Linked DNA regions of Drosophila melanogaster. The protein of the gene in region 1 interacts with the protein of each later gene in a pairwise test. Each region holds a gene or a part of one and is shown in the gene's direction. Other genes may lie near its edges.

Region 1 (6,874 bases):
GGATTGAGGCTCTCGATGGTCTGGGGACGTCGGCGCTTACGGTTTCGATCTGAATTAAGCTGGAGGACAAGAATCAATAAATATTACTAGAGAACAAGAATATGACACTCACCTCCGCATAGAAGCCCCAGTATCCTGGTATTTTCCGGCTCTGAGGGGATTTCTCCAATTGATATGAAAACAGCCCGGGCACCTTGTGCAGCTGGTCCCATCTCACCTTCATGGCGTTGAGATAGAGCTGCGCCCTCCCCTCCAGACTCGTCTCGTACTTAACCTTGCTCATGGTTCGCCTACGGACCGGTCGCTTTACCTCCTGGTCCTCTTTTTGCCTGCAATCCGCGGATCGGAGGACTACCAGCGGCAGCAGAGTTGCAACCTTCAGCGAAAACCTGTTGCTAAAGCCGGCGGCTATAAAACTGCTGTATTTTTGGGCAACATATCGGTTGAATCGAAAGAAGGCTGCGAAATGCCGCGAAAACATTTCGTTTTGTGCTGGGCAGGGAAAAACAAACTGAAAATTTAGTACAATTTTAAGGCCCAGACAACCTGACAACCCAGACCGCCCAGACAGCTGATTGCTGACTTCAGCGGCGTGGCAAGAGGGTTAAAAAAAAAAACGAGTCAGCGCGTTCGTTTTTATAAATATGGATCCTAATAAAGTCCCAATTTCGGAATTTTATTAGTTAGAAGCTGGCGTACGAGATTTAAGAAGCATATTTTATTTTCTGAACCCCATTAAAAAATTTGAGCTACGCCTTTGATCCAAAAGACCTGCATCCCTGGTTTGTTTGCTGCTGAAATTGGCTGCATTCATCAACAAATGGCCCAAGTTCGAGGATCTTGCGAAAGTTTCTGTCCCGATGGGGAGGCGAAAATGTAGGTAAACGAAATTTAAACCCGAATTTAATATAATAACACCGTTTAATACATTCAGGCGTATTCGCGAGAAGCTTTTGCACTATTTCGAGCTAAAAAATGGCCAGAAGAACAAGCCAGGAGTCCTGGTCAAGGAGTTTACACGCTCCGCCGCCGATGTCAAGATGCCCATGCCCAAGGAAATGCGCACAGAAGCGGCATTGACCAAAACAGTGGAATATCTGCTCAAGGAGCAAGTATATTAGGCGCTTAGTTAGCCAAGTTAAATCTGATAATTAATATACTGTGCAGCATAATCCTGGACACACGAAAGCCGTACAATGTGGCTTACGACTTCATATTCGATCGATTGAGGGCGGTGCGTCGGGAGATCGTGATCCAGATGTACGATGCCAGTCAGAAGATTTGCCTGTTAGAGCCCATTGTGATGTTTCTGGCATATAGTCGCTATCGCTTGTGTGAGGAGCCCATCGAGAAGTTCGATCTCAAGATATGCAATCAGCATTTGCAAGAGTGCCTCACGGGAGTGCTTTGCTGTTACGAAGAACTGGAGGACTTGGAATCATCTAGAGAACCCACCGTTCGTGAGCTTGAGCGGCGCTGCTTCATAGAGAGCCTGTATCAATTGTTTAATCTGGGTTCTCCCGAGTCCTTTACACGCGCCCTCACCTTACCGGACTATGTGCGTCGGGATGCGACGTTTAAGCTTTGTTTTGGGATCTGTTTGGCCTTCCAACAGGGCAATTTGTATAGAGTGCTCATGGGTGTGCCACAATTGCCGCATATTCTGTGCGCGGTAGCTGCCGCCAAGTTGCAGGTGATAAGGAGGTACAGTATAACTTTTTCTATTGGATCTCTTATTGACATGATGCATTTTTAATGTAAATACATATGTATGTATGTATATTTGCAGGAGTTTGTTGCAGATTTTCACGCATGCCTACAACAACAAACAGCTTACGGTGCCGGTTCCTTACTTGTTGCGTTTACTGTTGTTCGATGGGCCAACAGGATTGCAGGACCAATGTCGGCATTATAATATATCCTTAACAGCGGATAGGAAGGCGGTGCAATTTAATAAGACTGATTTTAACCACAATGCAGAGGTATTTACACCCCAACACGAGCGCTTTGTGGAGTCGAAGCTGAAGCGTATTTATATTCCAGAAGTTCTATTGCTAAAGAAATTTAACTAGTTATTTATGAGCAACAATTGTAAATAGCTCGAAATAATAGTAAAGCCATGGAGATTAATTTATTGTTATTGCGCATTTGTTTTCTTGTCGGGTGGCAACCCTGGTGGCAGAACAACAAACCTATCGCTTATCGAAAGACAGAACGCCGCGGTATTTACAGCTAATAAATGGTTTGCCAGTTGGAGGTTAATAAAATGCAATTTTTGAATAGTAGTTAAGATTACATTTGTGCTGTTTTGCGAAGTAATGCGAAGAGAATAACCAATCTCCGCTGAATAAACCGCTTAAGATATACACAAAGCGCGCGCAGGGTTGCATTGTGGCGCCTGTCGCTGCACACTACACACACACACACCCCACACACGCAACGCGAGAGAAAGTACCGAGCCGTTTCTGGAAAATACAATTCCGCCATATTAACCGGCAAAATTCAAAATATTTACACTGCCCGAGGTGAGCGGGATCGAGGTGGTCATCCAAAGCGAGAATTAACCCGCCATTGGGCAGCAGGAGAGTGGCGGGCGGAGCGGAGCGAGCGGTACGCATCATTCGCCGTCTGCCGCCGCCGTCGCACAATAAACGATAGGCATTGGCCACAAAAAAGTGGAAAAAGAGGTGGAGGGAAAGGCCAGTTCAGTGCAGCAATACCGACGAAAACACGTACGTTTGTCCACTTTGGAAGTCTGGCGAATATATAGAGATATATACATAATACGGATTTTTGGCCAGATACTAATTGCCCACTTTTTCCGCAGCGCGCTCGCACACACAACACTAACACTCACGCACGAAGCAAGAGCGCCCACAAATACAAGCATACAGATACAGGCACACAGACAGGCAGACGGAGCAGCCGCGATGACAAGTCATCATCATCACGTCGGCGTCGGAGGGAACTTCCAGCCTCAACTGCATCAGATACGAGCGCCCATCGTGAAGAATCTATCGCTGGCCGCTGCGGCGGTACCGTTGCCCCTGCACTCCGCCCCGTCGTCGGCATACTTCACTCATGCACACCAGCCTACGGCGGCTACCATAGTCGAGCAAGATCCGTACACCGTTTTGGCGGGCGATCCGATGGGCGAGGAAAGCGAGAGCTTCCTGATCGAGGAGATCATCGACGACTATGATGATGAGGCTAATATCGTCGTAGACTCAGGCGAATTCTTTGAGCACTATGAATACTATCCGGTGGATCGGCTGGACAGACTTACCTCGGTCACGGTGGCTACGGCAGATGCACTGCCGCCGCCGATCATCATGCAGCAGACCAGCGACGATGAGGAATTCATCGAGGAGGATGGACAGCAGATGACATCCTCCTGCGATGGCGATGGCGATGAGGATGATGAGGCTACCGCGCCGGCTACGACAAATGCCTTCGAGATTGCCTCCGAGATGCTAACCACCATCGAGGCCACAAACATCAAGGAGGAGCAGCTCGAGAGCGACTTCTATATGAAGGCGACCGAGGATTCAAACAGTTCGAATGGCCAGCTGCAGGATTTTAAGCTATTTGGAAGCAGTCGCGTCGAGAGGCCCATGGGAAATTCAGCGGCCAAGCGCTGGAAGCAAACAAAGGTACCCATACGCATAACGCAGGATGAGTTCAATGTCACCCTTTGGTCCTCGCTCAACTCGGAGGATGAGGACGAGGAGGAGGAGTTGGAGGAACCACCTGGTTGTGCTGGCACCACATCCGTGACGTCCTCCTCCGCCGCCCAGAATGAAGGATCACCCAGCATGCCAAAGCTTATTATTGACGAGCACATGATCAACCACGATGTTTTAAGCGATGGCATCGGCAACGAGTACGTCATCCTACCCGATCCATTCAGCGCCTCTGCGGTCACGGATGTGGAGGAGGTGGTTAATGCATTTATGGGCGATGTCAAAGGCGAGGAGGACAGCCAGCCGCTAAGTGAACAGTTGATCTATGCGGAAAACCAGTTGGAAGAAGCTTATGGTAACATCGAGCTTATCGAGAACATGCCGAATAATGTGGAGCTGATACAGACACCGGGACCAGGTCCAGCCACTGTGTCGGTAGCGCTATCGAAGGTCAACGGATGTGTACCGAATCCACAGCCGGCTCTCCCAAAACTAGTGCTCCAGAACAGCAGCACCAATGTGCGACTGAAAAGTGCGGGAAATCAGTCAAAGGTGACAAAGAGGCAACTCACGGCGGCGGCTCAGGTGGCGACACCAAATCCCCCACCGCCACTAGTGGCTTCCAGCAATCCAGCCCGACCCCAACGACCCACAATTGTAACCAAATTACCGACTGCAGTGGCCAATCAGACGGCTGGTAATGCCATGGGAGCAGCTGGCGCGGCCGGCGAAGAGGATGAGGAGCCAAAGTTTCGCTGCACCCATCGCGGCTGCAACAAGGAGTTTCGCAACCACTCGGCCATGCGCAAGCACATGCACACGCACGGACCGCGCGGTCATGTGTGCAACGTCTGCGGCAAGAGCTTTGTAGAGAGCTCCAAGCTAAAGCGCCACCAGCTGGTGCACACCGGCGAGAAGCCCTTTGAGTGCACCTTTGAGGGGTGCGGCAAGCGCTTCTCGCTGGACTTCAATCTGCGCACCCACGTACGGATACACACTGGCGATAGGCCCTACCACTGTCCCATTGATGGCTGCTCCAAGTGCTTCGCCCAGTCAACGAACCTCAAGTCCCACATGCTGACGCACACGAAGCCCAAAAGGAAGTGGCCGCGCGCACCGCAAGTGAGCAACAACAAGACACCGCTGGTGGCCAGATACGGGCGACTGGAGTTTGGCGAGGATCCTCGTCTAGTGTACGTAGAACAGAACGAGGAGGTGGCGTCGGTGCTGCTGGATGGCACGTCCCTAACATCCTAACTAGTAGTGCGCTTTAATGTGTGGCAGGTATTGGCATGAGATGGTTAAAATATTAAAGCTCCTTTGGCTCCGGAAGGCATTATTGTACAGTTAGTTGTAGCCAGTTTTTATCTGTATCTGTAACCTGTAACGAGCGGAGCGGCCGGACAAGATTGTCACCTGGTGAACACATCCGCCCGCTGCCCGCCCTTTAAGTAAGTAGTGTAAGTTCATTCTCTAACAAAATAGGATTGCAGTGCAAAAGGAAGTTAGATGGTAGCCATTAATTAATTTCCTTCACGGATGAAGAGCAGTTCTAAGAGTTTAGCTTGTACCGTAGGCTAAGTGAGTCCCCCCGCAAAACCAAAACTGAACCGTAATCCCCGAAGAACTCAGCCAAACTGTCACCTTAAAAAGCCCCAATTTGATCTGATACTAATCGTGTGCGATCTTCGCTCGAATAACAAAACGCGCACTTTCTTTTCTACGAAAACAAAACAAACAAAAAAATAAGAAAAATACACAAAACTAGTTTTACCATATTCAATACGCATACACCATAGGCTATCTATATATTTTTGTAATGAATTATAACACTTAGAGCATTGAAGTACGGATTTAGCATGTTCAACGTCTGTTGGCGCTAACAATAATTCACAAATGGAAGCACATCAGTTAAGTCGGAATAAACAAGGGAAATACCTCTTCAAAATTAAACAAAAATAAACCAGGAAAACAATGCAACAACACTTGCGTATATCATTTATCATTTCTTTTTTTAACTATTTCACAGTGCGATTGTGTAAGCGTTAGATTTATTAACTGACTTTAAACTTGTAACTACTGCTAGATAACTACATTAAACGGTGAGGCAGCTATTGATGGACAGTCGCCGGGTGTTGTCCACTTCAGATTCGGATCAGCAAGCGATTAGATCGCCTCTTTGGACATGTGTCGCCTACAGCTACGTTCCATTCATTGATTGCGGTGTATAAACGCGTGCGGATTAGATAAAGCATCGCGGCGAGGTACAGATACGCGGCTATTTTGGATATTGGAACGGAGAACAGTACACACGATTGGTCTGGGCATGGTCTGATCGGTATTTTAGGTGACCTTGAGCCCATGTCCTTGAACTCCGGGAATAATATCCGCGATGGAGGCACTTGTTGGGCCAATCAATCCGGCCAGCGAGAGCAGCACGGAGTAGTTGAAGTACCAGAAAACGCAGAAGAGTACCATGAAAATGACGTCTGCAATGAACCGAGAGCAATAATAACCCTGATAAGCGTATAAATTCTCCAGAAGCATGACGAATCCGTCGGATATTCCCAACTAGTTCGAGGGTGTGCTATTTTATTAACAGCAATTAACACTCACGTATCGTTATCCGCTCCCACTTTTCAACCATGTACAGCTCGGTGACCTGCAAGTTAATGGGGTTCATTTAAATCAAAATCCCGTGGAGCGCAGCTTCTCAGGTGGAATATGTGCGTAATTTTATGACCATTACATACCATGAGGTATCGAAACCACCAGTAACTGGCGAATTCCACGAGGTTGTCAAGCATTGCGGGTGCCGAATCGAGTAAAACACTAAAAAGAGGACAAACAATAGGGGTGCAGCGCGTTTAATTTGTTTAGTTCCTCCTACTGGCTGTGTACTAACTTAAACACGGTTAATCGATATCGCTGTCATATCGATAATTTGGACCGCCTAGTGCTGCAAAATGCGTGTTTAATAAAATAAAATATTAGAATGCTAATAGAAGGGTTGTATATCGACTGTTAAAGTTAATTAGAACTTAAATATTTGAGCTCTCGGAAATATTTGAAGATGTATTTATTTATTTAATTTTACTGAAAAGAGTACATATACGTACACTTAAACGTTCGCCATAAGCACTCTATCAAAATTACATACATTTAATCAATCTGACAACTCAGTTGTAAAC
Region 2 (6,043 bases), on another chromosome or scaffold:
GCCGATATCATGTTATTCTGGTTTTATGTGCTATCGACTTGTTAAAGCCCCTTCTGTCTGTATGTATTAACTTTCGGCTCCCGAAAATCTCCGGAAATAACTATATGTATTATTCCGGGAAAGAGTATACCAACAAAGTAAGTAGTATAAATAAATAGTACATAACATAATATATACAGCAGTAGCATTTCCAGTACCTAGCAGCCAAAAACAACCAAAAGAAACGGCGGAAAAGCTGTCTCGGTTGGCTTGCAGACCGTGAAAAGCCACGAGCCACGATTGAAATACCGAATTTCATACCAAAACATATGAATACCGATTGTTTATATCAAAAGCTACCAGGCGAATTCTACAAAAATATTTATATACTTACATATACACACATACACACATATGAACACAAATAGTTACCCACCGTTTAGCATGCGGAATAACCAAAGAAAAGCCTTCTAAATGAAAAGCTACTAAAAAAAATTTTCGAATATTTTTTTAGAGCTTATATTGGTCAGAATTCTTCATATAAATACATACATATATAATAACATAATAATAATATTTAAGATCATTGAACTTTTGCTAGTGACTTAACACCAGTTTTGGTACTAATGCACGAATTAACCACGTAAGGAGTATATATAAGCAGAAAGGAAAATTAACAGAGGCGCGATCGAAGGGTAGGTTTTTTCCGGTTCGGTCTAACAGGTGTTTCACAAATAAAGCGCGGGCAACCGTCCAAGACATTTCCTTCGATCGCAAAAGAATTCAAGGGATGACGGTAAATGAACACCTGAATATTCTGTTGTGTACACTACATAATTCTGTAACATATTATTATACCCGTTACTCGTAGAATAAAAGATAGATTCGTTGATAAGTATGTAACAGTTAGAAGAAAGCGTTTTCGACCATGTAAAGTATATATATCTTGATCAGGATCAATAGCCGAGTCGATCTGACCCTGTCCGCTTGTTGCTTCCAGAGACAAAGACGCACGGCAACGTCACTCTTTGATTTTTCAATATATTTAACAATATTTTGACATAAATGATAAAAGTTAAATCTTATTCTGATGTCTTTTCAGTCCCCTTTAAAGAGGACAAGTGGCTAGTAATATTGACTAAGTATGTTTATAAACTAATAGATTTCATAAATGAAAAAAAACTTTGTATTTGTATTTGTTTTTTTTATACGATAGTAACACCAGTCAGCTCTAAATTTTGAAACGGTTGAGTAATCTCTCTTCTCCCTTTCGTGTAGTTTGCAACGGTAGTCGAAGATTGCTTGGCACGCGCCGTCTTCTCTTTAATAGTTTGAGTACCAGCAGCCTGCTTTAGATCGTCGTTCAGGGATGCCAATTTAACTTTTTCTTGGTTTCACTACTCTGACGAAAATGTGGATTATTTTTGTATGCATGGAAGCATAGAAACAATATATGTATGTGTATATCATAAGGTAGTGCCGACTGTACTCCTAGTACACCTATGTATATTAAACGATTTATTTACAAACGTATATTACACATTTTCAAATATGTATGTATAAATATTTGTTCGCTTGTCAACCTGTAGAATGCAGGTCACTCAATGTAACAATACGCGATCCAGACGGTTAAAAGGGGGTTGATTACTTATGTATATAAACTGACTTAGCTTCCGTTCAACAAAATGTAGTTACTTCAAATTTAATACATAGTCTTGCGTTCACTTTTCGAGAGCCTGTTGTTAAATGCCAAAAGATAACACCTTTATATGTATCTAATAATAGGAATATTAAACCGGAACCAATAAATATAGGCCTTTAGTGGAAAACAATTAGACAAATATGGGTCAGCTGGACCTTAGGAAACTTTAAGCAGTCAGGACTGTAGGGTTATGAGATTGAGGTTTGACAGATATAAAAAAGAACGATCATAATCAGGGATATACCAAACGCTTCGAAGCGCTTTCTTCTTCCTTACAACGAATTTAGAATACCCATTTCCTATACGAGTAACGGGTATAAGCACTCCAACACTCTGATCATTAAGACCAAACAGGGGAAAACAAGAATACCATCTCATCCCTTCTCATTCAGTGACTTTAACTAATTTGTTCTCTTTCCTTTTCTCTATCACTCGTTCTGTTTGAAGCGGCGATCGTATTTCAAACCCAGCTTTTGCATCCGAACAACACGCTATGTCTCCCGATTAGTCGACCGCCAGTTGAGTGCGAATGTAGCCGACCAACCGTAAAGCCGCCTTGGGCCAAGTTTTGAGAGCGACTCAAACATATAAGCCATCATAAACACACTCAAAAAAGTGGTCGGCTGAGTTTGAGCGATGTAAACTGCTTCCGTCGTCCATTGCCATTCAACAATTTAGTTTCGCTCGAGATCTCTTGGCGTACGCTTCAAGATCCACCTGGAAATCGTGTTGCTTCGTGGATTTTTAGCCAACAGGTGGTTCGCGCTGTCTTTTTTACCTTTCAAGGCTTAGATTCCTTGACTCAGTGATGTTGTTAGTGTATAAATTCGTATTTGAACGTTTTCACTACCTTAACTGAGTGACGCTAAATAACTAATAATTTATTGAAATTCTTTAAAACAATTATATGTTAACCAATCTTTATAAAACGAAAATATTCAGTGAGTAAACTAATGCATAGTTTTAAATATATTAAGGTAAAAATAATTCCTTAATCATCCAAGTTATATAACATTAAACACTTAAGGCGCTTGAGCTCGGCTTTAAATATACTCCGAATTTGAACAGCTTATATTTACCCACGCTCCTGACCTTGGAATACTTGTTTTCTTTGTTTTCCTCGACTGTCTTAACTAAAAATTCTGGCTCCCCATAGCTATTATTCGGCTGGAGTGTGTGAAAATACAATTATTTTTCCCACTTTTAATTTTGTTGAATTGAATGAAGTATGGGTTTTATTCTGCCTGAATACCAGTTGGTAATGAAAATAACAAATTGTAGAAGCTCCAATGACCTCGTAACAGGACCGCTGTGCCCGACCGTGACTTTTAACTATATACTTCCAAATTCATTTAAAATTAATTTATAAAAAAAATTTAAAATTAATTAATTTTTTATTTATTATTATTATTATCAACAAGAAAATGTGTATATCGAATTCGAGCCCTTTATTCGAATTCGAACACAACAACAAAACTACAAAACTTGTACTACTAAACTTGTACTAACTAACTACTACCTGTTACTAATAGAGTAAAAGGGTACACCAGATTCGTTGAAAAGTTGAAAGGTAGATGGAAGTGTTTCCGACCATATAAAGTATATATATTCTTGATCAGAATCAATAGCCGAATCGATCTGACCTTGTCCGTATGTCCGTGTGTCCGTCTGACAGTCTGTCCGTCCGTATGAACGTCGAGATCTCAGGAACTACAAAAGCTAGAAGGTTGAGATTAAGCATACAGATTCTAGAGACATACACGCAGCACAAGGTATTGCCACGCCAACTGTTACGCCCAAAACTGCCACGCCATTGAAATATATTTTGAAATTTGTTCATATTTGTTTCCTAAATTTCTATCGATTTGCCATGCCCACTCTTACGCGTACAAACCGTTTAGAACTGCCACGCCCACATATTTGCAAAATGATATTTTTTCATATTTTCTTTAGTTTTTGTAAATTTATATCTACATTTTCTTTTTGCAACGCCCGCTGTTACGCCTACAAGCCGCCCAAGACTGCTACGACCACATTTTTGACCAAATTTTAAATTTTTTCTCATTTTTATCATTAAAAAAATAAGAAATGCGTTAGCTGAGTAACGGGTATCTGATAGTCGCGGAAGTCGACTGTAGGATTCTCTCTTGTTTTTTAAATTAATTTTCCTCGTGAATTATAAAAGCGGTGCAAGCTTGTTTCATACCTGTGCCACGCAGGCACTATATGTATTTTGATTTTTTATTGATTTTATTTTTTTGTCATTCTAATTTTTATCGACGAACCCCAAAATGTTCTCATAAAAAAATGGCTCCAATGTTATTAAACATTGCTGCTACTAGCTGATTAATAGGTATCTGATAGTCGGGGAACTCGACTTTAGCGCTCTTTCATTTTAGGCTATTTAGGAAACAATAAATGTAGAAAGAAAGCAGATGGCCTAAACGAACACATTTATTCCCATACCCATACACGTAGCTGACTCGATCATTTAGCTATATTGACCCTTAGGGGAGTGTCAGTCCCAAAAAGGTCAATTAACAACAGGTGAATAAGTGCTAGCAACCACGTTTGCGCGGGTTAAGGCTTCATTCGGCGGGAAGAAAGTGCACCTTGCCCTGGATAACAAGAGCGGATAGTGAAATAGTGAAATATATGTGTGCCATTGAAAGGTACGAATCACAAGAAAGATTGCTATAGTCAAGTTGGCCGACTATTAGATACCCGTTACGCAGCTAGTGGAAATGCCAAAGAGAAAATTTCATAAATTTTGGCTAAGCGATAAATATTGTGGAATAAAATTACTAAAAATTAAAAAAATGCTTATAAGTCTAAGCTCTTTGTTATAATAAAATTAATAAAATTATGAAAAAATATCCAAAAATTCTTCAAAAATGTAATCGAGGCAATTTTGTTTGTGGGCGTGGCAACAGGGGGGTATGTCTCTAGAATCTGTATGCTGAATCTCAACCTTCTAGCTTTTATAGTTCCTGAGATCTCGACGTTCATAGGGACAGACTGGCAAGGCCAGATCGGCTCGGCTATTGATCCTGATCAAGAATATATACACTATATATAGTCGGAGACGCTTCCTTCTGTCTGTTACACACTTTTCACAAAATCTTGTATACCCTTTCACTCTACGAGTAACGGGTATAAAAATATCATAATTTGGTCTGTTACTCGTAGAGTAAAATTAGTTGAAAAGTATGTAACAGGCAGAACGGATCGTTTCCTACCGTATGAAATACATACATTCTTGATCAGGATCAACAATCTGGCCATGGTCTGAACGCAGTGATCTAGGTAACTCTAATAGAAAGAAACGATTAAGATTAACAAGCAAATTTTAGAGCCACCTTCGCTGTATGATTTTTTTCCCAGCACTCACACTAGCTGAGTAACGAGTTTTTGATAGTCGAGGAAATCAACTTTAAAATTTCTAGTTATTCATAAATATGCCAAATCGGGATATACCATTTATATAAAAATACATTAATTTAGTTCATAGTTTCGCGTTTTCCATCATAAAATGCTCTTATTTGAATGTATCACTTTAAAACTTTCTTTATATATAGCTCGGTTGATTTAGTTCATTTATTAAAGCCATTACGTGTTGATTCGTTGAAAAGCAGAAGTGTTTTCGATCTTATAAAATATATATTCATAACTGTCTAGACGAGTCGATCTACAGATTCTAGTTGTAGTCATACGGCAAGATTATTTTAGATAATGAAGGCGTCCGCCACCCAACGCCTATAAACTTTCAGAAGCGTTATGACACATTAAAAAAAGAAAATTATTTTTTGTCATTTTACTAGTTGTGTTACCAAACATTTTGACTACGCCCACTCTATCACCCACAAACCGCGACGATAAGTGAAATATCTGATAGTCGAGCCATTCGACTATAGCATTTCCTGCTTGCCTTTAAAACAGTTTGAATGTCATTGCCGAATAAAATACATAACATTTGTTGTTAATTACACTTTAAGCAGAAGAATTTGATGAACTAACCAACAATTGTTTTGTGCAGACATATCCATTCCTTGCATAACTGCATAGGTCAACTGCTTTGGCTACGCTAATATCTCGTTGCTTTCATAATAAAAGAACCCACAATTTTCTGTATTCCAGGAACTTATACATTTTGTTGAATCTTTGATGCTTATAATGGATATACAGACATCGACACATCATATCCATGGGCTCGGAACACATGAGCTCCAACATCGTATTTTACATCCACACATTCTACATTCAACTCAAGAAGAAACCCTTAATACAAGTACAGGCCAGCTAGAGCACGATTCCCAACATCTGCAACAACATCACCTCACTCATCATCAGCAACAGGACGTT
Region 3 (5,973 bases), on another chromosome or scaffold:
GTTCAAATAGCATTGGAAAAGTTCCGGCGATAAGGCGCAGCTATCGCCAAGGCGAAGATTACGCCTGGATGCACCATGGCAACCACTCGAGAGGCGCTCCCCCGATTCCCTATTCCCGATCCACGATTAGATTGGCCAAATACCAGGGAAACCAAGTGACTTGGGTGCAATAACACGCCCATGATCGAAAATGCGACCCCCCATGGATGGGAGAGCGCGTCTATTTGCGATCCGCTTATCGTCAAGTGATTATCATCCGTCTGGGTCACCAGTTCAAGTCGCCGGACGACGATAAGGACACTGCCCCCCCTTTGCAGCTGACGCACTTCGGAAAGATCGGGAAACGTACGTATATAGTCGAAATGGAGAATATTGGCAGAAAATGGACAAGTTTATATGTATGTAGCTTCCTCCAGCAAATTACGTATCTCTAGTACCATTTTGTTGTTCAACGTTTCCAGCTGCTAACTAATAATCCCTGGAAGATTCTTCTATTTTCAACGCAGAAATGAATTGGACACGCAAAATTTTAGCTGCAAAAACTGGAAACTGGTGATTCCCACTAAATTGAATGCTAATTTCTGGCCACAAGTTGAGTGCAAAATGCATATACATATGTATGTATGTATATTTATATACAAATCTGCCCACACGAATGGGAAATTCGATTTAATGGCCAATGCCAGATTCTTTTTTTTTTTTGCGTTATCAGTTTAAATATTTAGACAAGTGCAAACGAGAATGACAACAACAATGCTCGATAGGGCGCAAACAGCCGAGAAATTCGAGTAGGCCCAAAAACGAGTTTCAGGCCGAGGTAGCGAATGTGAATCAAAAAGATTCAAACTTGGCGCATGGCGACGTTTTGAATACACTAACAGTACACTGATACAAATACGGTACATATATGTACATATGCTATAAGATCTCAATTAAACTACACATGTACATAGGTACTTAACAATGATACTACTATAAACAACACTTTCAGCGGATCGATGGCATGCCATCCACGTAGGGATAGTGCAGTGTGGGAACACATGGCTGAATGAAACGCATGAAGCACATGGCGATTAGCCGGGCATGCCAGGAGCCGCAAATGGAAGCGAAACACAAACTTTCTGAGCACCGCGATCACTGCAAGAATTAAAGGCAATCGAAATGCGAGTCCCCCAAATGGTTCAATTAGCCACACTTTTTCCACCCTCCCCTTCACTTTGCCTGGGACTTTCCCGGCGAACTCACCTTCAAAGTGCTCTGCTTGGAGTCCGAATATCGTCTGATCGCCGGTAAGAATGGCGTTGGTGATGGTTGTTTTTTGGCGGCGATGCGAGTTAAAGCTCCGCTAAGCTTTCCAGTCTCGAAGTTAACCGGGTTGCCAACTTTGGTGTTCAGGTCCCGACTAAGGCAAAACCGAAGCTTTTGTGTCAGTGTAGAGCGCGCCCGCTGCATGTCTTTGTAACTGTAATAAGCAGAATTTTATAGATTTTAGTGGATGTTTTTCAACAATCCTTGGTAATTATTAGTACTCACACGGCTGCGTTCGAATCGGAACTGCCGCAAAGTGAGAAGAGTCGCCGGCGCTGAGATGACGCCGCCGCTGGCTGATAAGCGATAACGATAACCCGTGACCCCTGACCGACCCAGTGATAAGTCCGCCCAAGAGTTCCGACCCGATCGCTGCGCTATCTCTTGGCCAGCATCCAAAATATTCGACACCGAAAATACAACGAAGCGAAAACACGCGTTACGTTGGTAAACAACATTTACCAGGCTAACAGATATCAGCTGTTTGGGTAGTTGGATCGCTGGATTTAGAAGCTTTTGGCGCCGTCTGGCAACGCTAGCGATAGCTACCAATTCTTGTATAAATATTTACAATTTGTGGAAATGTTAAGCGTGTGTGCCTCTTCAATTAATATTAACACTTTATTTTATATCATAATATGCGTTTCTCTCAATCCCTTAAAATGTACGTAGTTATCAAACGCGCGATAACGTTAAGGCATTTAAAGTACCCGCCAAATTGCTGGTACTGCGAACCGGTTTAAGTTGCCAACCGATTGGGAGAGTGCAACATCTCTCTCCAGCAACATTGCTGCCAGCCAAAGTCTATATAAGCAACAACGAAAGTTCAATTCTTTTCACTCAAAAATCCGTCTCCTCCGCGGTACGTTTCACTTCGCTGCGCCGCTAAAAGAAAATTCCTGGAAAATATTAACAAACACATGAGCCTAACATTCTTAACAATTCCAAAACAGAACATTTATTTTTGGTGAATTTCCTGACAATTTAGTGGTTAGTGTTTAATGTTAAAACATTGCTGTGCGCATTTACCGTTATCCGCTCGCAAGGCAAAAGAAAAAGCGCGCGTTTTGAATTCGCTGTTTCGCATTATTTTTTTTTATGTTAAAAAACAAAATATAGAAATGAAACAAAAATGGCAAGCCAGAAATTAAATGAATGAATGAATTTTTTTCGACACAATTCTGCTGCGTGTGCAATTCGATTCGAATAACAAAACAAAAAGCATAAAGGAAAAGTAAAAGAAATTCGAGGGGGGAAAAAAACGCCAAAAGAAAAGATAGCGCGAAAAGTCATAAAGAAAAGGTGAGAAAACAAATTATTTATTTCATGTGCTAAAAAGACACGCAAAACGAACGTCGTTTTATTTTTAGCCAAACAAAAGTTGTGTGTTATTTGTGCGATTTTCTGTTTTTGTTCGCCGCTCTCCCCTTGTTTTTTATCGTTTTTGTTTTTCAATCATATATTTTGTGCTTCTTTTTTTTTTTGCATGTTTTGTTTTGTGCGTGCTCTTTTTTGTTGAATGCAAAAAGGCGAACAAAATATTACGATAAAAATTCCGTTGTTCTCGCCGAAGGTTTCCGGGTTTGTTGACTTTGCCAGCTGAATATTCGAAATTGACATAAATAATAATCGCATGCAATTATTGTAAACAATTGTTTTTCGCTCAGGAAACGATTGGCGCTTTTTCTTCGCTTATTGTAATTGTTGCTGCCAACTAATCGCCAAGATAAAAATGAAAAAAGAGGGGAAAAAACCTACAGAGTTGCAAAAAATTAATTAAATTCATAGGCCAGTAATTTACATTTTTTGTGTGATTTTTTCGCTTTTTTTGTAGTTTTTGTCTAAGCTTGATAATTAGGGTTTTTTGCGGGCTGTTGTTTATCTGCTACAGTTGTACCCAAAATAATAGTCGATGCTTAAAAATGTTTACAAAAAATGTAAATTTTTGTGGCGCTTCAAATAGCTTTACTACGATTTCGAACACAATTGTATATCTTAAGTTTTGGGGCTATTTTTTGTGCTGGTTTTAAATTTTGGTTTATCGGTTTTTGTTATTTCTGTGGCTTTTAGTTTTCTTCTTCACCTGTTTAGCCTTATTTTTTGTTGTCGATTTCGGCTTATTTGTTTTTAGTTTTTTGTTGCACTATTTGAATGCGAGTTTTTTTGTTGTTGAGAGAGGCATTTCCGCCTTTATGGCAAAAGCAATTTACAATTTGCAATTTACTTTTCTCTCGTTTTTTTGCTGTATGGCAATTCATTTTTACAACTTTAATTATATGAACAAAAACTGCAAAACATGAACGGCAAAAATTAAAATTGCAAATCGCATTTGAGTGACGTCGCCGTCAACGTTTCTCCTTCCTTTTGTTTTTGTCGGCTGTTTTATTCGGTTTTTTGTTTTCACAGCGGCATTCGCCTGCGCAAAAAAAAATAAAACAGCGAATCAGTGTGTGGAAGATTGTGTGGAGGGGGGGCAGAGAGCGAGAGAGAGAGAGAGGAAGAGAGCGTATCAGGAGCGAATCTGGAAATTTTTGAACCAAGCTACCGATTTGCAAGAAGAACATGAAGTTAACAAAATATATAGGTTATTGAGCAACAAAATTACGTAAAACATTTAAGATATTTAATGGCACTTAACTCGAATATTTACCCCCTGATCCGGCCCTGGCTTCTGTGCGCTAGTGTTGGTGTGCGTGAGTGCTCTCTCTCTCGTTCGCTGCTCTCTGCTCCCCATCTTCATCGACCCCCCACCACCCGCCTTCGCCCCACTCACACACATTTCAATTACATGTGAAACGCGTGCTCCAAATTTCAAGTTCATTGTCCAAAAACAAATCAGAACAAAAGCGATAACAAACAAGCAAGCCAAAGGCAAAAAAACAAGGGCAGGTCAGCATCCGACGTGCCACGCCCCCAAATTTGGAATATATACATACATATATGCATATATGTTCATATACATACCTATGGACATAATTAATTAATTTATAAATGTGGGAGAAACGCTTAAATAAAGCCTAAAATTAGTCTAAAACTACAACGATTGATATTCCAACAAAACCAAATTCGAAATATAAAACATTTTCAAATCGATTTCGAATAAATGCATATTTACCTGGGCTTCGAGATTTGAAAGCTTTGCATCTAGATTTCATTATCATAAATTATTCGTAATATATGATATATCATGTAAAAAACTTTTGGGTATTCCCACAGTCGAGTCGAAATAAAGCCGTGAAGTATTTATAACAAAATCACACTTATTTTCGTGTTATTCCGCAACCAAATAAAAATTCTTTAGAAAAACAATGCGGCAGTAGGAAATAAAGCAAAAAACGACACAAATTTTGACACGAAATATTGTTTTTCGTGTGTGATTATTTTGTTGTTGTCATTTTTTGTCATACCAGCTTTAAGTTTAGTTTACTCTATGTGTTTATTTATTTTCATTTTGGTAGTTGGCAAATAAAATTCGCTTACGTAAATTTTGGGGTTGTTTATGTTTTGCGCACTATATATGAAAAATGATAACTATAATTTGCAATGCGTAAATAATGTTTGTCAAATGCCGACAAAGTTCCTTAAATCTATTCACAGCGTTTTCAATTTCAATTTCGCCGAAAAAGGGTTTGATTTTGCAACCATTTCTTTTTCATTGAGCTCCCCACTTTTTTTTTCCCTCATTCTCTGATATCAGCTCATATTTATAATTAAAAACAAACAATAAAAAACTGCACTGCAGACGGCAAATCGGAAAAATATAACAAAAAATAAAAAGAAAAGAAGCCATAAATATACACACATATGTGTATAAATATTTATATTTATATGAATTTGCGGGGCGAGACACTAAAAATAAAAAAACAAAACTAACGCTAGGCAAATTTCGCTGATAACTTTGAGAAGTGCTGAAAATACTGGGGCTCCAAAGGGAAAAAGAGTGTAGTAATAATAATTTAAAAAAAAGGTTGAAATCAATGCAATGCGAAGAGATAAAAACTATTTGCGTCGCATAAAGCCAAGCGAAACAATGGGAAATAATAGAGAAAATTTGAGAAAAATAATCGCCCTTCGAAAGTCGAGAATTCTTTGGCTCCCAGTTTCTTTCATTCGCTTTTTGTTTCTCTGTTTGTCCAAGGTTTTCAAATCAAATTATGTCGCGATCGAAAATCACAAAAAAAGGCAACACAAATACGGCCTCTATTTTTATGCAATTAACCGCCAGAGAAAAAAAAACGAAAAAAACATTTTCAAATAGGAAAGATAAAAACAAACAAAACACACGCACACTCCAAATGGGGAACAAAAGCGAACTCTACAAAAATCACCCAAAACCAAAAAAAAAAACTACACATTTATAAATAAAATAATAACAATAAAAAGCCGAATACGAATCGAAATTATGAATCACAAAACGTTTTTTGTGGCTTGTTGGTATTTTTTGTTTTTTCTTTTTCATTGCTTGTGTTTTTTTTTTTTTGCGTTAATACATTTTAATTCAATTTTGTTTCTTTCGCCTTTTTAATTTTATCCGCTTCCGTGGCAATGTGGCATTTTATTTCTATCTAATTTGCAACAATTTTGCAGCTTAAATTGTGTTACTGATTCAATTATATTTACTTTTCTATTAATTCAATTTATATGTGTATGTGCAACAACCGCATT
Region 4 (5,955 bases), on another chromosome or scaffold:
GTGGGCGATCTGCGACGGATCAGAAGTGCCATCAAGGTGGCGCAACATGTCTTGGAACACACGCTTCACACCCTGCTAGTTGGCGATGGGGCCGATGAGTTCGCCAATGCCATGGGATTGCAGTACGAATCACTAAACTCTGAGGACAACATAGAGTCATTGAAAAATTGGACGAGGCACAACTGCCAGCCAAACTTTTGGCGAAATGTCCACCCGGATCCGAGGACCTCCTGCGGTCCCTACCAGCCCTTGGTCACATGGGATCCGAATGCCAAGCAATCGGATCGGATCGAAATTGGTCCCGATAACCACGACACCATCACCATGGCCGCCATCGATGAGGAGGGTCACATCCATGTGGGCACCTCCACCAACGGACTACGCTACACGCTGCCCGGACGTGTTGGCGACGCCTCGATTCCCGGCTCCGCTGCCTATGCGGATAACGAAGTGGGCGCCGCTGTTACCACTGGAGATGGAGACATCCTTATGCGCTTCCTGCCCTCTCTCCTGGCGGTGGAGGCCATGCGGGCGGGCAAAACACCGGCGGAGGCAGTCGAGTTGGTCATCCAGCGAATCCAGAAGCACGTAAAGTATTTCGAAGTCGCCGTTATCGTTGCAAACCGGCTTGGAACGTACGCAGTCAGGTGCCATGGTACTGGCATGGCCAGGGATAATGGAAAGTTTGCCTATATGGTCAGTAGTCCGGGACAACCGGTGCGCACGGAATCGGTTGAGTGCTCAGCGAATCCTGAGAAATCTCCTTCCGAAGACGATAGACAAGTTATTTGGTAATGTTTACTAATTTTGTTAGACTATAAATCTTATAATTGTTATGCACTTAGCCATTTTAAAATGTATCTGAAACCAGGAGTAGAAGAATTACGATTAGCTCCTGCATAAAAGAAAATGTGCCTCAGATTAGACCTATCGGTAGATTAAAAGGCTGAATAAAAGCATGTTCATTTTTTGCAAATGGCACGCAAACATTATCTATCATATCATATCTGAATATAGAAAATAATAAAAGTTATTATGCTTGTATTTGTTGATAACTCAGTTCGGTTTCTTTAAAAGGCTCCTGCAGTCATGTAGAATGAACCATAGTTTATCAAGCCGGGAAACCAAACATCGCTGCTCAGTCCAACATGATTCTTAGTCAAAATGATGGCATAACCGTACGAGTTATGAAGGAGGACGACTATCCAAGAGTGAAAACCTTCATGACGGACTACTTTCACTACGACGAGCCCATGGGAATGGGTCTCGAGGAGCCCATTCACCTGCAGCATGAGGAGGAAGTGGATAGGCAATACCTGGCGGTGATCAGGCAGGGACTATCCATAGTGGCACTCGACGATAACAACGGGGGACTACTGGTTGGCATTGCCGTGGCGGAGACGATGGATCCCATCGAAATGGCCAAGCAGCACAAGGAAGCCGAGGAAATGGAGCCAAATGCTTTGGGTCGCAGCAGGAAATTTATAGCCAAAGTGGAGCGCGAAGCCAACATTTTCGAACGCTTCGGAGTCTCCTCCTACCTGAGTCTGCTGGTCATCTCCGTTCACCCCTCAATGAGGCAAAGAGGTATCTTGGTCATACTTTCCAAATGTCTCTTTAAATTGGGTCGCCTGCGGGGACTCCGTCTGTTCATCGGCAGTGGCACCAATCACTACTCCTCCCGATCGGCGATGAAAGCGGGATGTGAGTGCATCCATTCGGTGGCCTATGCTGACTACAAGGACGAACAGGGCCGACCGATATATAATCCACCAGCGCCCCATACCCACATTCGGGTCTTGGCCTCAAAACTTTAATAAATTAGTACGAATTCGCAAAACTAAGTAACAAATAGGGGTGTTTTCTTATATCGCAAGAACCTTTGGACTTGACAATTGATAGAGACCGCCCAGGTGAAAATTCATGTCCAGATGGAGCTAATAAAGTAATAAAATTTAAGGGCTCTACTTTATTGTGCACAGATTGTGTTGATTATGAATTTATCAAGTACGAAGTAAGCACTTTTCACTGCTATGTAAACCACTTGATGATTGCAAACGGCATAAGCCTCTTGTGGGCTCACAATTGTACTTTTTCTTTAAAGTCGTCAAATTTATGTTTCTCGTTTCGAAAGTGCGTTGTATTTTATTTCTGTAGTGTATTGTTTTGTGGTACATATAGAAATTTTGTTTGATTTGTGTTTCCCTTAAATGATATGCTCACTAATGTGATCAATTTTAGAAAGTACATATGTATTATATTCGCTAAGTTATATGTATTAAATAAAGCAATTAGAAAATGTCGAATCCAAAATTGAATTATCTTAATTTAAAACTAACTGAAATAACCGGTTGGTGCTGCCAGACCTTTAAAGTGTCCGGTGGTATATTTTCTCAATGACAACAACGGTCACACTGCATTCTGCTCTTCAAAAAATATTTACTAGATAAAACACTTGGAATTCGGCGGATTTGAGTGTAGTTTTTCGACTCACGCATCTAATGCGGCACAGTAATGACATAAGGATCAAGTGCAATATATTGAGTGTGCCATTTGTTATCCAGTAGCGCCCCTATTACAGCAGGATGCAGGATGCCACGGCTCCGGATCCGGAACCCAGCAGCACCAACGGCAATTGCTCCGTTGAACATGACAATCGGCAGGATCAGGATGAGAACCACGTAGGCGCCGAGCGGGAAGCGGAGGCCAACGATGCCAACTGCACCGTTTGTGGTGCCGCCAAGGCATCGGCGCTTTTGGATCTGCGCTCCAACCATGTAATGCAACGTCGCCTAAGTCGCGACTGGAAGATTCATGTGGGTACTCAAGACATCATCCAATTCCGACATCCATGCCAACTCTTTGAATTCGAATTCTTTAATTATCAGGCAGATGTAATCCGATCCACATTGAAGGCCATTTGCGTGGAGTGCGTGTGCAAGCTGAACATGCACTCGGAGGTCACTCGATCCCTGATGCAGCGCATGCAACGGCTGCAGCGTTCCGGTGGTGAAACCACCAAGGTGACAACCACCACGACATCGCCCAGCCAGCACAGTCCACCCATTGCTGATGCAGAGGTGTCGACCACCTTGATTGAGAGTCAGGAGGAGGTGGCCCACAGCGGGCAGAGCGTTCGCTCGCGTTCTTCCTGCTCCGTGCTGGAAGTATACCTCGCTCAACAACCATATTCTCCATCGGCCAAGGAAACGGAAGAGAAGCATGCGGAGGGCTGGAAATGGCGAACACGGCTGGAGTGTCACGAATGTGGTCGGGCCTATTTTCGACGGGATTACTACGCCCAGCACTTGAGGCGCTGCTCCAAAACGCGCAGGAAGCAGCCACGTCCATCGCGCGTCAAATGCCGGGTACTAAATGAGGCGAGCTATGATGAAGAGGCGCCATCCAGAGCCATCCGATCATCGCGCATATACTACTGCCGGCATTGCGACGCAGAGTTTGAGACCTTAATCAGTAAGCGACAGCATGAGCGAATGAAGCATCAGCAGCGATATCCGTGTGATTTGTGCGAAGCCCAGTTGGACACGAAGTACGAGTGGGAAATGCATCACACCATCTGCCAGGCCAAGCAGGAGGTTAGTATGCATGTATCCCCCAAAAATGATATACTTATATGTTCCGTTTTTTCTGTACAGGCCTTAGCAATTGTGGAGCAGCAGGAAGCTGGCCAAACCGTTATGACTTCCCGGGTGCCAAGGGCATGCTCGATGCGCTCTCGCTCACGGGCATGCTCCGAAGCCTGGGATAGGTACGACATGGATGAGGAGGAAGAGGACGAAGAAGATGAAGAGATAGAAAGCGGTGGGGAGGAACTAGAAGAGGGCGAGGAGGATGCCATGTACGCGCGACGTATGAACTTTACTGGCGACTGGATTGTTAACCACAGCCGCAGCAATAGCAACAGCGCTGGTAATCTCTCCCTTTTGTACGGAGACTACGGAATGGTGGAAACGCACATGACCACCGACAAGGAGTATGGTAAATATCCTTTGAAATATGTTATCGTTCTGTATCAAAAAGTCTTGCTATCCGTTTTCAGATCTTTACCTACTGGACCTGCTCAAGACGCAGGTGCGACTGAAATCATTCACTTGTTTCACGCCTGACTGTGGCTACCAGACGGACACCCTAGTGGCTCTAATGAAGCACGACTACATGGAGCACTGGAAGATGAGCTGGTTTTACTGTCATAAGTGCGGCGATGTGTTCACCAGCAAGTAAGTGGGGCAGCGATCTTTTTAAAGAAAGTAGTTTATTGGTTTATTTGTGTTCCTTGCAGGGTCTTTTTAGACTACCATATGCATCTCCAGAACCGCGGCCTCTACATCTGCCATAAGTGCCGCGAAGAGTTTGAGTTGCAGCACCAGTTAGATCGGCATTTCCAGCTGCACAGGAAAGGGATCAATTACCACTGCAATTTCTGCCGATTGGAGTTTCTTAGCGAGGCTAAGCTGCTGGCCCATTGCAAAAAGCTGGGGCACAGTCCCAACGACGAGCCCCTCATCAGCATTGATCGTTCGCTCTCGATTGTCAACTGCCATGTGCCACGGTCATCGGACTATTCTCGAATAGTCAAGTCGTACGAAGAACGTGAGTTCTATATTCCGCGAATACCGATGCCCTCCACGCAGCCCATGCACTTGCCTCAACATAAACCCTTTCGTTTCGCTATCGGAATATGTGATTTCGAGGAGCGAAATCCGAACTGCGTTGGATGTCACTGATTACGAACTTGTTGTGAGCTCCATTCTTCGTCTGCAATATATTCGAATAGGTCATGCTACACGTTACTAGTAGAGTGTAAAGTGCTAATATGCACACTCTTTGGTCGAGCAACGAGGAACTCGACTATTGCGTTCTCTTTGTATAATCAACTCTAGTAAATTTAGATATGCATATTTTTTATAATAAATATTGTGCCGTTGTCAGATAAAAGAGCATTAGTTATTTGATTCTTCAGTCAGTTTATTTCGCGTTCCTTCGCTGATCTTTACATGATGAAAGTCGGGTGTCTAGGGATAATTTAAATTGCAGTACAATTCGGAATACTTAAAACTAGATTTATAATTCGCATGTGTATGTGTGGACTATGATGCTATGTACAGAGTTACTCGTATAACAATTTAACATTATCGACCGTACGACTATATAAGTTGCATAAGTGTAGGTGTTTATAATTAAAGAGCCTATTGCATTGCCCCCAGCGCATGTTTTCATGTGTGTTGTTTTTTGTTTTGTTTTGTTTTGTCTTATAAATAGTTTAGTTTTAGTGCTTACGTTTAGTTGATGGCCTTAGAACTAATCAATTTGCGGGAAACTTACAGATTTTCAACTAAGGATCTCGATTCGTATTTAAGTTTAGTTTATAATTTTATTTTATTTTATTTTAATGCGTGTGCTCTTGCTCGTGGTACGTTTGAGTCGGTGTCAGTCTTATAAATTCAACCCAGGACGATTTAAATATCTCGCTAACAGGATAACATGAGGCTAACAAAGATACGCTATTTGAGGTAGTTCTGTTCAAGTGGGATCTTCTGGTTTCTCTTCGATTCGAAAATCATAAAAGTAAGGCCACGTACATGCATGGTCGTTATAAATAATCTAGTGCTAATAATTTTTAAAACAAATCACTGGCATTTAACAAAGTTGTACAAGGTGTAGCTAACCCGCTAACCCATTCTGATGGGAGCCTCTACTGCTCTGTCCTTAGATAGCTCCTCCACCGCCTCCCGATTCCGCCTTCAGTCTTATGTAAGTGGGTTTACATATGCACACATATCTTAGTTTTGTCAGTTGGCCGGCATCTGGGATGGTGGAGTAACACTGTTTTAAGGCCTACAACTAGCTGGTTTCCAAAGATGGCCTACGAGTGCCTAGCCTAAGGGTACCTATCTGTATTCTATGCTGTCCTATCCTACTATCTATATCCTAACA

The links.
Region 2: the proteins of phol (region 1) and sv interact in a two-hybrid assay, tested with the Drosophila melanogaster proteins (one large-scale study listed by BioGRID).
Region 3: the proteins of phol (region 1) and CG3726 interact in a two-hybrid assay, tested with the Drosophila melanogaster proteins (one large-scale study listed by BioGRID).
Region 4: the proteins of phol (region 1) and CG11906 interact in a two-hybrid assay, tested with the Drosophila melanogaster proteins (one large-scale study listed by BioGRID).

The regions. Positions count from the first base shown.
Region 1 is NT_037436.4:9,451,596-9,458,469, reverse strand, and holds phol (pleiohomeotic like), read left to right. Parts: upstream 1-2,188; 5' UTR 2,189-2,732; intron 2,733-2,827; 5' UTR 2,828-2,930; coding exon 2,931-4,940; 3' UTR 4,941-5,667; downstream 5,668-6,874. Other genes in the region: CG3552 (uncharacterized protein), read right to left, coding at 1-59, 113-481; CG3437 (uncharacterized protein), read left to right, coding at 821-876, 935-1,108, 1,168-1,704, 1,790-2,072; ghi (ghiberti), read right to left, coding at 6,027-6,172, 6,300-6,345, 6,437-6,490.
Region 2 is NC_004353.4:1,086,441-1,092,483, forward strand, and holds the start of sv (shaven), read left to right. Parts: upstream 1-2,357; 5' UTR 2,358-2,622; intron 2,623-5,818; 5' UTR 5,819-5,845; coding exon 5,846-6,043.
Region 3 is NC_004354.4:5,915,018-5,920,990, forward strand, and holds the start of CG3726 (uncharacterized protein), read left to right. Parts: upstream 1-2,079; 5' UTR 2,080-2,610; intron 2,611-5,973. Other genes in the region: Shmt (serine hydroxymethyl transferase), read right to left, coding at 1,246-1,452.
Region 4 is NT_033778.4:19,280,413-19,286,367, reverse strand, and holds CG11906 (uncharacterized protein), read left to right. Parts: upstream 1-2,406; 5' UTR 2,407-2,585; coding exon 2,586-2,816; intron 2,817-2,888; coding exon 2,889-3,596; intron 3,597-3,656; coding exon 3,657-3,999; intron 4,000-4,060; coding exon 4,061-4,238; intron 4,239-4,300; coding exon 4,301-4,745; 3' UTR 4,746-4,950; downstream 4,951-5,955. Other genes in the region: CG10474 (uncharacterized protein), read left to right, coding at 1-795; AANATL5 (arylalkylamine N-acetyltransferase-like 5), read left to right, coding at 1,149-1,817.